Linked DNA regions of Sus scrofa. The protein of the gene in region 1 purifies or fractionates together with the protein of each later gene. This does not show direct contact. Links are inferred from orthologs where the notes say so. Each region holds a gene or a part of one and is shown in the gene's direction. Other genes may lie near its edges.

Evidence for each region. Proteins that work in one complex are often made in the same cells at the same time.
Region 2: the proteins of BET1 (region 1) and STX5 purify together in Homo sapiens (affinity purification with mass spectrometry; 3 studies listed by BioGRID and IntAct, with this or other methods). This does not show direct contact. The link is inferred for Sus scrofa from reciprocal best matches to the Homo sapiens genes BET1 and STX5.
Region 3: the proteins of BET1 (region 1) and STX7 purify together in Homo sapiens (affinity purification with mass spectrometry; 3 studies listed by BioGRID and IntAct, with this or other methods). This does not show direct contact. The link is inferred for Sus scrofa from reciprocal best matches to the Homo sapiens genes BET1 and STX7.

Annotation. Positions count from the first base shown.
Region 1 is NC_010451.4:73,782,652-73,786,170, reverse strand, and holds part of BET1 (BET1 homolog), read left to right. Parts: intron 1-1,317; coding exon 1,318-1,374; intron 1,375-2,911; coding exon 2,912-3,067; 3' UTR 3,068-3,519. UniProt on the Homo sapiens protein: Required for vesicular transport from the ER to the Golgi complex. Functions as a SNARE involved in the docking process of ER-derived vesicles with the cis-Golgi membrane.
Region 2 is NC_010444.4:8,965,272-8,968,790, forward strand, and holds the end of STX5 (syntaxin-5), read left to right. Parts: intron 1-2,500; coding exon 2,501-2,660; 3' UTR 2,661-3,239; downstream 3,240-3,519. UniProt on the Homo sapiens protein: Mediates endoplasmic reticulum to Golgi transport.
Region 3 is NC_010443.5:31,226,391-31,229,909, forward strand, and holds part of STX7 (syntaxin-7), read left to right. Parts: intron 1-103; coding exon 104-156; intron 157-961; coding exon 962-1,058; intron 1,059-1,908; coding exon 1,909-1,981; intron 1,982-3,519. UniProt on the Homo sapiens protein: May be involved in protein trafficking from the plasma membrane to the early endosome (EE) as well as in homotypic fusion of endocytic organelles. Mediates the endocytic trafficking from early endosomes to late endosomes and lysosomes.

The DNA of each region.
Region 1 (3,519 bases):
AATTAGTTTTATATTCTACATAGCACTTAACATAATTCCTTATAGTCATATTGAGTTAATATGTATTAAAGGAATTGCAAAAAGCTAGTTTTAACAGTGTATATGATTGATTCTGCATTAAAATAAAGATGCTATATACTATAGAGCATTCACTGGAAGATTATGTTGCCAAAACTTAATTGGTATTTCATAGTCTTTGGAAGATAGAATTGTGTTCAGCCTGGAGACTCATATTCTGACATGAGTATTGTTTTCGTGGTCATATTAAATCAAAAGGAGTTAATCTATGAACTAAACAATGTTAATAATTTAGAAAATATACTACTTAGAGGAAATTAAATGATTTTTTAAAAAATTAACATTGATAATTTTGGTTCCTTGTTAGAAGAAAGCTTTTGTTTTCCCTGAAATTTTCTTTCTTTGGCACAAATGACAGCTGAATTAAGTGATTTGGACTGTCTAGCTTTATAGATGCTTCATTTTCCCTGAATTGCTGAATTTGAAGAAAAAGCTCATATTCTGATATATAGAATTCTACAGTGGTTTTGGGTAAATATTACCCCATATGCTTTCCACACAAAATAAGTTGACAATATTTGCAATGGTTTGCCAAAATTTTCAGTAGTTTCCAAGATTTAGTAATAGTATATTTATTCAGATATCTTAGAAGTGAAGCCTTTGATGAATTTGTCATATAAAGTGTTTGGTTTGGTTAGTAGTTGTAGCCACTTATTTCATTTAGATTCAACCTCTGTTCTGCATAGCTTCTGGATATGGATAACACCAGCTTGTAAAATTTTTTTCCAATTTTTTATCATACTTTAAAGAAAATACCTTTAGAATCTAATAATTAATTTAGATATATATTCAAAATATTGTCACATTTCTTTAGGAAAATATTACTTATATCTGGATTTGAATTGATAATATGGGAACTTGTATGCATTTTTAAAATGTAAACAAATAAATATGCAAATAAGTGCTGTTGTATTAATAATATAAAGAGAGCAAGAATGTAAGGATAAGAGAACCAGAGAGAAGTATGTACCAAAATCAAAAGATAGACTTAAACATTAGATGAAATCAAAATGAAGAACAGGGAGACAATGTCCATAGTGGGAAAGGAATAGAAATTCTAAATTTATTTTCCATTAATTTCAGTGGGAAAAATATCAAAAGAAGACAGGTATATTTTATATTTTTAGAATATGATTTTATTTGAGAAAATGTTTATGCTTCAAATGACATCATTGTTTTTACTTCATAATACCTAAAACATTTATATAAGCAAAAATGTATATGCTTTCTTCTTTATAGCTTTCCATTGAAATAGGCCATGAAGTTAAACATCAAAATAAATTATTAGCTGAAATGGTAAGTGATTATGATTTTAACATTAGGAAACTTCATCTGATAGTCTCAATTTTGGTTTGGAATAGATCTAAGATTTGTTTTTGCCATATTTTTACACTTTTCATCTTGCCTAACACATATAAGCAGGAGGAGGAGGTGGAAGCCCATGTATTCTTTAATCCTGTGTTTAGAAACAGAATTAGACTCAGGAAAAATCTCTGTTTTGAGCTTTCTTAAAGATCTCAGTGGATGGAGACTGCCAAGTACTCAAAAGTTCTTTATATCCAACCAACAAAATGACTTTCACTTAATGTAAACCTCTTTCTTTTGCTTGATTTCCTGAGGATCACTTGGAACAAGTCAATAAGATTTGAACATAGTAACATTATCTGGAGTCTAAACAAGCCTTTTATCTGGAGTCTAAACAAGCTCAATAACATATACCATTTCTTGTTAGAGGCGCTTTCCATTCTCTAATGTTATTTTGGATGTCAAACTCCTGTGGACCTTCCCTAGTTTCCTCACATGCTTTTAAAATTTATACTATTTAAAAATGTATGTTGCACTAAAAGCAATCTCCTTGCAAAGGTTGTGCATTAGGATCACTTGAGGAACTTTCTGAAAATATTTATGCGTGGTTCTCACTCTAAATATACTGATTCAGGAGTTCTCATTCTGGGCCAGCAGGAACCTCTCTATGCCACAGATATGGCCCTAAAAAGAATGAATGGATGAATAAACAAACCAACACACTGATTCAGAATTTTAGAGGGAGGTACCTAGTTGTCTATATTTTGAAAAAAGCATCTCAGATGCTTCTGATACATAACCCCAATAAGGAACCATAGATCTAAGGTGCTTGAACTACATAGAACCTGAGCTGTACAAAGGTTGTCATTATGCCAGGATGTTAAGATTTATTTGAAAGGGCAATGTTTCTAATCCATACCTGGTCCTCTTAAGGACTTTTTCAGCTATGTTTTAATGTGGTGGTTTTTCCCCATCCATATTTGCCATCTTTGCCACATTTTACCACCTCTAGAATATTCTGTTACCTGTTAATAGACTCTGCTGACCTTCAACGTCAGCTACCTGAAAAAAGGATCTAAAAGTAAAGGTATGTTTAGCTGCTAACCATGTTTAATTTTGGATGAATTGCTGTACTTGGAAGCAGCTAGCCATTTGACCTTGAAGAGCAATGCCCTACCAATAAGTGGGAAAAAACCCGTGTGGGTAGATGAACTACTTGCTTTTATTGTTAATGCTTTTTCATCCACGTAATTAGAGTAAGATCTAAATACTTTGGAATTTTGAATTACTTTGAAGCTGGAAAAAATATTTACTGGATGATGAAAGAGCTTTTTATTTATTGAGAAAATTACTCTATTTTGCATAATCAGGCTGATTATCTAAGTTATAAACAGGCTCTTGAATTAATTAAACACAGAAAATGTCATTAAAAATGTGTTCTAATAACAATATATTAAATTCCTTACATGTGCATATGTAGAATATCAGAATCTAACTACTATATTTTGTTTTCCTTTTCTCCTCATAGGATTCACAGTTTGATTCTACAACTGGATTTCTAGGTAAAACTATGGGAAAACTGAAGATTTTATCCAGAGGGAGCCAAACAAAGCTGCTGTGTTATATGATGCTGTTTTCCTTGTTTGTCTTTTTTGTCATTTATTGGATTATTAAACTGAGGTGATGCAAGTAAGTGTGAGTTTGGAATTTGTTCCAACTTAGGCTTGGAGTACCACTTTGGTAAAAAATCAGCATCTAAACATTCCTAACTTTCAAATACTGTGGCTTTTTCCATTGAAGATTATTGAATTTTACTTGTTTTGTAAGTCACATTAGATAATACAGTGCTCATTGAATACTGTTTCTTAATGATTCCTTTTTTGCCCCTATTTTCAGGGGTATTAAGCTGGTCTGAGGTCAGTCTGGCCCTAACATTTTTCTTTCCTATTTTTTACTGTCAGATTAAATAGCAGTATAGTATTTTGTCATTACCATAAATGTAGGTTTCTGTTCCATGTAAAGAAACTTAGTGGGAGAATAACAGAATGCCTTGAGAGCCTGACAGCGGGCACTTGAAGTGGTGAGCAAGTGTGTGATGGATGGTAAATGTATTTTCCTGAACTGTCATTGCCCCCA
Region 2 (3,519 bases), on another chromosome or scaffold:
GGCAGCTTCTGTATCCACTGAACATGATCCAGTTACTCTCAGTAATTATGACGTTTTGGGGAAACTGAAGCCAAAAGAACTAAAATCCAAGATCTCCTAGGCACGGTCAGATGGTCAAATAGTCCTTCTAGTTCTTGAGTTCTCTATCTTCTTCCATCAAACTCCTTTTTTGTCATTCCCACCTTATACTTACCTTCTCGTCCTCTGGCTGTCCATGCCTCTGATAGCAGTTTCATCATCCATCCTTTGTGTTCAGCAAGACTCCAGCTTCTTATTGCTTAATTACTTCCCTCTATGGTTTTCTTTCTGTAAAACGTTGCGAACTGTTCTCCTCTCTGTTTTCCTCAGTCTTTTCCCTCCCAAGTCATTATTTTCTCCCCATTCCTTTCTGACTTTTAACTCCCCTACTGATTCCTCTGAATATCCCACTGATGCCTAATTTTATCACCCCTAGATTTCCCTTGTATTAGTTTTCATTCACGGTCTCCCATTTGAAATGTTTTAGGAGTTCCCTTGGAACTGCAACCACTTGTGTCACTGCTGTGGTTCAGGTTCAGTCCCTGGCCTGGGAATTTTCACATGCTTTAGGCATGGCCAAAAAAATAAAATAAAATAAAAATCTTCCATATGCCAGATTGATTTGATTGCTTTTCCATTTTTGTTAAGCAGAGCCATTATGATTGTCAGTGTGAATGAGCTTTATTGGCTATGGGATGACAAATGCATCCACACTGAGAAATGTAATTATAGCCCAAAGCTGGGAAACCTGATACGTTTGTTAGCTTCTCTGACATAAACAGGGAATCATACAATTCATGCTCCAGTGTTTGGCCAGAGATTACCTGATAGTCTCGTGACCACCTTCCCAGGACCTTGGACTTGCAGTCACCAGCCCAGCCTTTCCTCTCACTTGCCTACTTGATTCCCAGCCTTCACCAACTTTTCTGTCCTCACAGCGCACGATGGTTTCTGCTCCCTGCGACTCCCTTTGCAAAGACCAGGGTTCATATTTCGTTTTCAGGATTGCACATGCACGTTAGCTGGGAAATGTTTTATTTTCCTCAGCAGCCTCTCAAGAGATTGCCATTCATTCTTCTGAGGACTTCTCTATATCCTGAGAGACATGTTCTAATATCGGGCTTTTCTTTTCTTTTCCTTTCTTTTTTGGCCATGCCTGTGGCACGCAGAAGTTCCCGTGCTAGGAATCGAACTCAAGCCACAGCAGTTACAATGCCAAGTTCTTAACCGGTAGACTACCAGGGAACTCCCTTGGGCTTTTCTTTTTTTCTTTTTATGGCTGCACCTGCAGCATATGGAAGTTCCTGGGCTAGGGGTTGAATTGAAGCTACAGCTGCTGGCTTACACCACAGCCACAGTAATGCCAGATCTGAGCCACATCTGAGACCTACACGGGATCCTTAGCCCACTGACAAGGCCAGGGATCGAATCTGCCTCCTCATAGACACTATGTTGAGTTAACTTGCTAAGCCACAGCAGGAACTCCCCTGGGGCTTTTCTTTATCTCCTTTCTGTCCGTATCATCAAGTTTTTCTTCCTTTCTCACTCAGAACCAGGGTTTCCTGACCATAATGGCCTGTGACCTTTCCCCCGTTATTACAAAGGCAATACTGCTTATCAGAGAAAAATCCATAAATACTGATGTGCAAAAAATTATAATGACTAACATTTTGGGTCCTTTTAGTATGAGTTAGGCACTCTACTCATTTAAGACTGACAGCAGCTAGAGAGGTGTGGTTTGTGTTATCTGAATTTTCTCCTTTGCAGTTGAGGAAAATGAGACTTGGGGTTAAGTGACTGGCTTAGGGTCATATGCTACAGAGCTGATTTTCAAACCAGAGCCAAGATTTGTTTATATTACCCTTCCAGAGCATTTTCTGGAAGGGTAATATAGATATATTTTTTTGTTTTGTTTTGGTCTTTTGTCTTTTTAGGGCTGCATCCACGGCATATGGAGATTCCCAGGCTAGGGGTCAAATAGGAGCTGTCGGTGCCGGCTTACACCACAGCCACAGCAACACAGGATCCTAGCCACGTCTGCGACTTATACCACAGCTCACGACAACAAAAGATCCTTAACTCACTCACTGAGCGAGGCCAGGGATCAAACTGGCATCCTCATGGATGTTAGTCGGGTTCATTAACCGCTGAGCCACAATGGGAACTCCCCTCTTTTCTTTTTTAAACGGCTGCACCCACAGCATATGGAAGTTCCTGGGCCAGGGGTTGAATTCAAGCCTCAGCTGTGGCAATGCCGGATCCTCTAACCTAACCCACTGCGTTGGGCTGGGGATCAGACCCGTGTTTTTTGCAGTGACCCGAGCCGATGCAGTCGGATTCTTAACCTACTGTGTGCCACAATGGGAGCTCCCAGAGCTCTCCCATCTACAAATACATGTACACACACACAAAAATACATTTCAACAGCATTCCTTTTAATCAAGTGTCACTCTTTTTCCCCTCCTCTCGGCCCTCTCTCCAGGATCGACGAGAACGTGCTAGGAGCCCAGCTGGACGTTGAGGCCGCCCACTCGGAGATCCTCAAGTACTTCCAGTCGGTCACGTCCAACCGGTGGCTTATGGTCAAAATCTTCCTCATCCTCATTGTCTTCTTCATCATCTTCGTGGTCTTCCTTGCCTGAACCCTCTCCAACGCTGAGGCATTCCGTGGGGGTTTGGAACCCTCCTGGGAGGGCAGGTGGCCAGAGCTGCCACTGAGCCTGTGCAGGGTGCTTGGGAGAAAGGCCCTGTTTCCCTGGAACTGCTAAGAACGGCCACTGCCCCTGATCTCCCACTCCTTGCCTCTGGCCACCCTGTCCTCCCCTCACCATCCTCAGGCCCATGAAACACACGGTTCTGGATTTGGACTCTGCTGTGAAGTGGCTGGAAGGGAGCAGAGGCCAACTGGAGGGCTCTTCGGGGAGGTTGTCTCCACTGGAGATTTTTATAAACCCTCCCCAGCCTTTCTCAACTCTGGCAGCAAGGGGAGATGATGCCCTTCCCCACCTTCCTGAGAGTGAGGAGAGGAAGTGAAACTTCCCCAGGGACCAACTTTCCCATCTGGGTTAAAATTTACCTCTTCCTCTCTTCACCATGTGAGGCAAGGGGCCCTGAGCCCTTTGGCTGCCTACACAACCCCAACTCTGGCTGCAGATGACTCTCAATCTGCCAAATGTGCTGCGGCCCGTTTCCTCCCAATTACAACAAGACTGTCAGCCTCACTAGCCATGTCGTCATTTCGGGGTGGGAGCGTCGAAGGGCCTTGGCAGCAAGTGGAGTGAGCCCACTGCCCAGCATCATAACTAAAAGGGTTGGGCTGATGGCCCTGACGGGCCAGGCTCACTCACTCTGTGCACACAGCTGCCTCCCGCAGGGGGTTTCCAGGTGTAGCAGCACTTAGTTAGCATGGAAACTTCCCTTCAGAGGCCCGTAACAGGATCCCAGCCTGGGTCCCTGATTGACGGCAACTTCCAGGACCATCTCCAGAAGTATTTGGACCTG
Region 3 (3,519 bases), on another chromosome or scaffold:
CCTTGTAGATGTAAATCAGTTTAGATTATTATAAAATAAAATGTGAGTGGTGTGTGTTTTTCCTGTGCACCTTCTTAATCCATTTTGTTATTATATTATTTAGGGTGGTTTTCCTGAGGAGACCTCAAAAGAAAGAAATCTTGTATCCTGGGAAAGGTAAGAAGTATAAAACATGCAGATCAAAGGGTAATTTTTGAAATACATTTTCTTACATCATGGTTCCTGGGCAGAATTAAAGCTTTCAGTATATTATGCCATGACTATCCAAAGTTATTTATGAATAAAAAATAAATAATAAATTTGAAAATTTTTCAGAATAATTATTTATTATAAAATATGTAAACATAAAAATTTCCAATGTAGCAATACTTTTAAAATAATTATCCAAATAAACATTGACTTAATTATTATTTAATATAGATTATTCCCATGTGTGAGGATTAAGTCAACCAAGGAGAAATACTCACCTGCCAAATATAATAGCTTCCAAAAAGTTAAATAATAACTGAAAAATAATATCAGTGAAATGACAGATGAATAAAATTTGGTTAACATTTTTATCCTATTTTTAGAATTTAAGTGAGTAATTTTGTTTTTTATTTATTTATTTTTGCATTTTAGTGCCGCACCCACGGCATATGGAGGTTCCCAGGCTAGGGGTCTAATCGGAGCTACAGCTGCCGGCCTACACCACAGCCATAGCAACTCCAGATCCAAGCCTTGTCTGCGACCTACACCACAGTTCACCGCAATGCCGGATCTTTAACCCACTGAGCAAGGCCAGGGATCGAATCCACAACCTCATGGTTCCTAGTCGGATTCGTTTCTTTTGTGCCATGACAGGAACTCCTAATTTTATGTTTTTGAAGAAAAAAATTCAATACGTATTTCTTAAATAAGAAGAAAGCCCCATTGTTTTAACTGGTTCTTCTTTTTTACTTATTGTTTTGTTTTTTAACAGCCAAACTCAGCCTCAAGTGCAAGTGCAGGATGAAGAAATTACAGAGGATGACCTTCGCCTTATTCATGAGCGAGAGTCTTCTATTAGGCAACTTGAAGTAAGCTTTATAAAGTTGGACTGCTGCTCTGTTCTTAGTGAGTTTGTCCTGAAAATGCTTAGATGATGCTAGGAGTGAGATCAAAAAAGATAACTAAAGAAATCCATCATTTTGGTGGCACTTTTTATATAAATTAGAATAATTTCTTTTTTTAAAAAACTAGTGATGCTTTAGAATTTCTCCTAGGATGAGATAATGTATTTCCTTCCACTCCAGCTTTTTTTTTTTTTCTTTTTTAATTCTGTTAGGTCATCTGAAGGCTCCTGAGCGTTGAGAAAATATCATCTAGAGATAAATGTTTGCTTAAAGGGTCTGAATGGCTCCTGTGCCATATGATACACGTCACACCTGCATGAATAAGACTTTTTCCAAGGGCTTTAAAAGTATTTTATTTCTTTTTAGTATGTGCAGGATATCAAAGAGGTCTAAAGGGTTCAGTAGCCATAGTTCTTAGAGAACTTTTTCCCTAGAAAATGGGCTAATAATAGCCTACCATTTATTGAGGGCTTCCATGTGCCAAGCACTGTGTGATAAATTCTTTATGTTAACTGTCTCTTTGAGTTGACATATATTCAGCAACCCACAGCCCTTCTCTATTAGCTAGATCCTTCACTTCTGTCCCATGTGGCTTGATATTTTTAACATCACAATCTTATTTTAGAGAACTAGTTACTGTTATTCAAAGTCTGCTTACCTGGGATTGCTTATAGTAAAATAGTTTCCTGTGTGTTATTAAGTCTAGATGCATTCTCACCTGGGTATGAGTGGTGGCTTGGGTTTTTAAAAAATGTTCCCCTTTTGTGGATTGGAGACTGAATTTCTGATAACAAAGTACACTTTTTTCTCTTAGGCTGATATTATGGATATTAATGAAATATTTAAAGACTTGGGGATGATGATTCATGAACAAGGAGATGTAATAGGTAAGCTCTGCTCATTATATTTCGTGAGGTGGAAGCAAGCTCCATGCCGTTTACCTGCTGCAGCTTCTCAAGCCAGAGTAACTCCTTCCTCTCTCTCTTTCGGTCCTCCAACAGACAAAACATCATCCTTGGCAGTATCTAAGACACATCTTGTTTTTGGCTCCTACTGGTTGAAATGACCAGCTGCATTTATTTAAGAAGTCCCAAATTTAATTAGGGTCTGCTGCTGCTGAGCTTATGGAAGGTGCTATGTAGCAGCATTCTAGCTTGTTTCCAGGACCTCTGGTTTCTGCCTTATCCCAGTTTAATTCTCATCACACCAAGGACTTTAGGGGAAACTTCTATTCATAATTGTCTTTGCTACCTGTCTTTTAGAATAGAGGGAATAGGAATAGGTGGCCGTTTGCATGATCCTTTATCCTCATAGCTTTTTTGGTAGATTAATTTAGTAGTATTACTTAGATACTGAGAATTTTTTAAAGAAAAATCAGTGACTAAGACTTCTATTAAGTGTAATCATAATTCATTAAAGGTGTAGTTGTCAACATTGATCAGGATTCTGATCATTTTTATTATTTTGAAATACAAAAATATTAGAGGGTATTGCTAAAGATAGATTTAATGTATTTTCTGAATTTTGGTTCAGTTAAAAATACTTGTATCTACAGTTTAATGTAATTATTATCAGTCCAATCTTACCCTCCTCTGTATCCCCAGTAGATCACAGGGTAAAATTTCCCAAATCATTGTATGTATTTATAGAATGCCTGCTATATCAGGCATAATTCTAGACACTGGGGATTCAGTTAAAATTAAACGACATATAAACAATCTTAAAATCTAGTTGGAGGTGAGAGACAATTTTAAAAAAAAGAAAAGTAAGTAAAGGGTGATAAGTGTTACAAGGAAAATAAGGCCAGGTGGGGGATGGGACTCTGGGTGGTGGGGAATGTGCTGCTTTTCATAGGGGAGTCATATTAGGCCTCACTGATAGGTGACATAATAGTGAAGAATTCACGGAGGTAAGGGAGCAAGCAAGAGAACGTATGCCAGGCAGAGGAAACAGCAGGTACAAAGGCCTCTGGGCAGAAGCATACCTGTCACCTGAGGTGAATGGAATGAGCAGGGGGAGATGGAGACCATGTCAGAAGTCACAGGGGACAGCATCTTGTAGGACCCCGAGCATCATGAGGACTGTCGCTGTTACTAATAGAGGGGAAGCCACGAGAGCGTACGAGCAGAGGAGGGCTGTCATCTGACATAGGCTTTAAGAGGCTCACTTTGCTGGGTCGAGAACAGACTGCAAAGGGACAACCAAAAACAAACCGCTTAAAAGGTTCCTGCAGGAATCCAGGTGAGCAGCTGTGTTGCCTTGGATCAGGATGGAAACAGTCAAGTGGTAAGAAGCAACAGGATTCTGGATATTTTTTTTTTTTTTGGATGTAGAGCCAAAAAGATCTACTGACTGTCTGATAGGGGTGAGAGAGAGTTAATTCAAGGTGACTCTAAGGTTTCGGCCCAGGTCACGATGGTGGTGC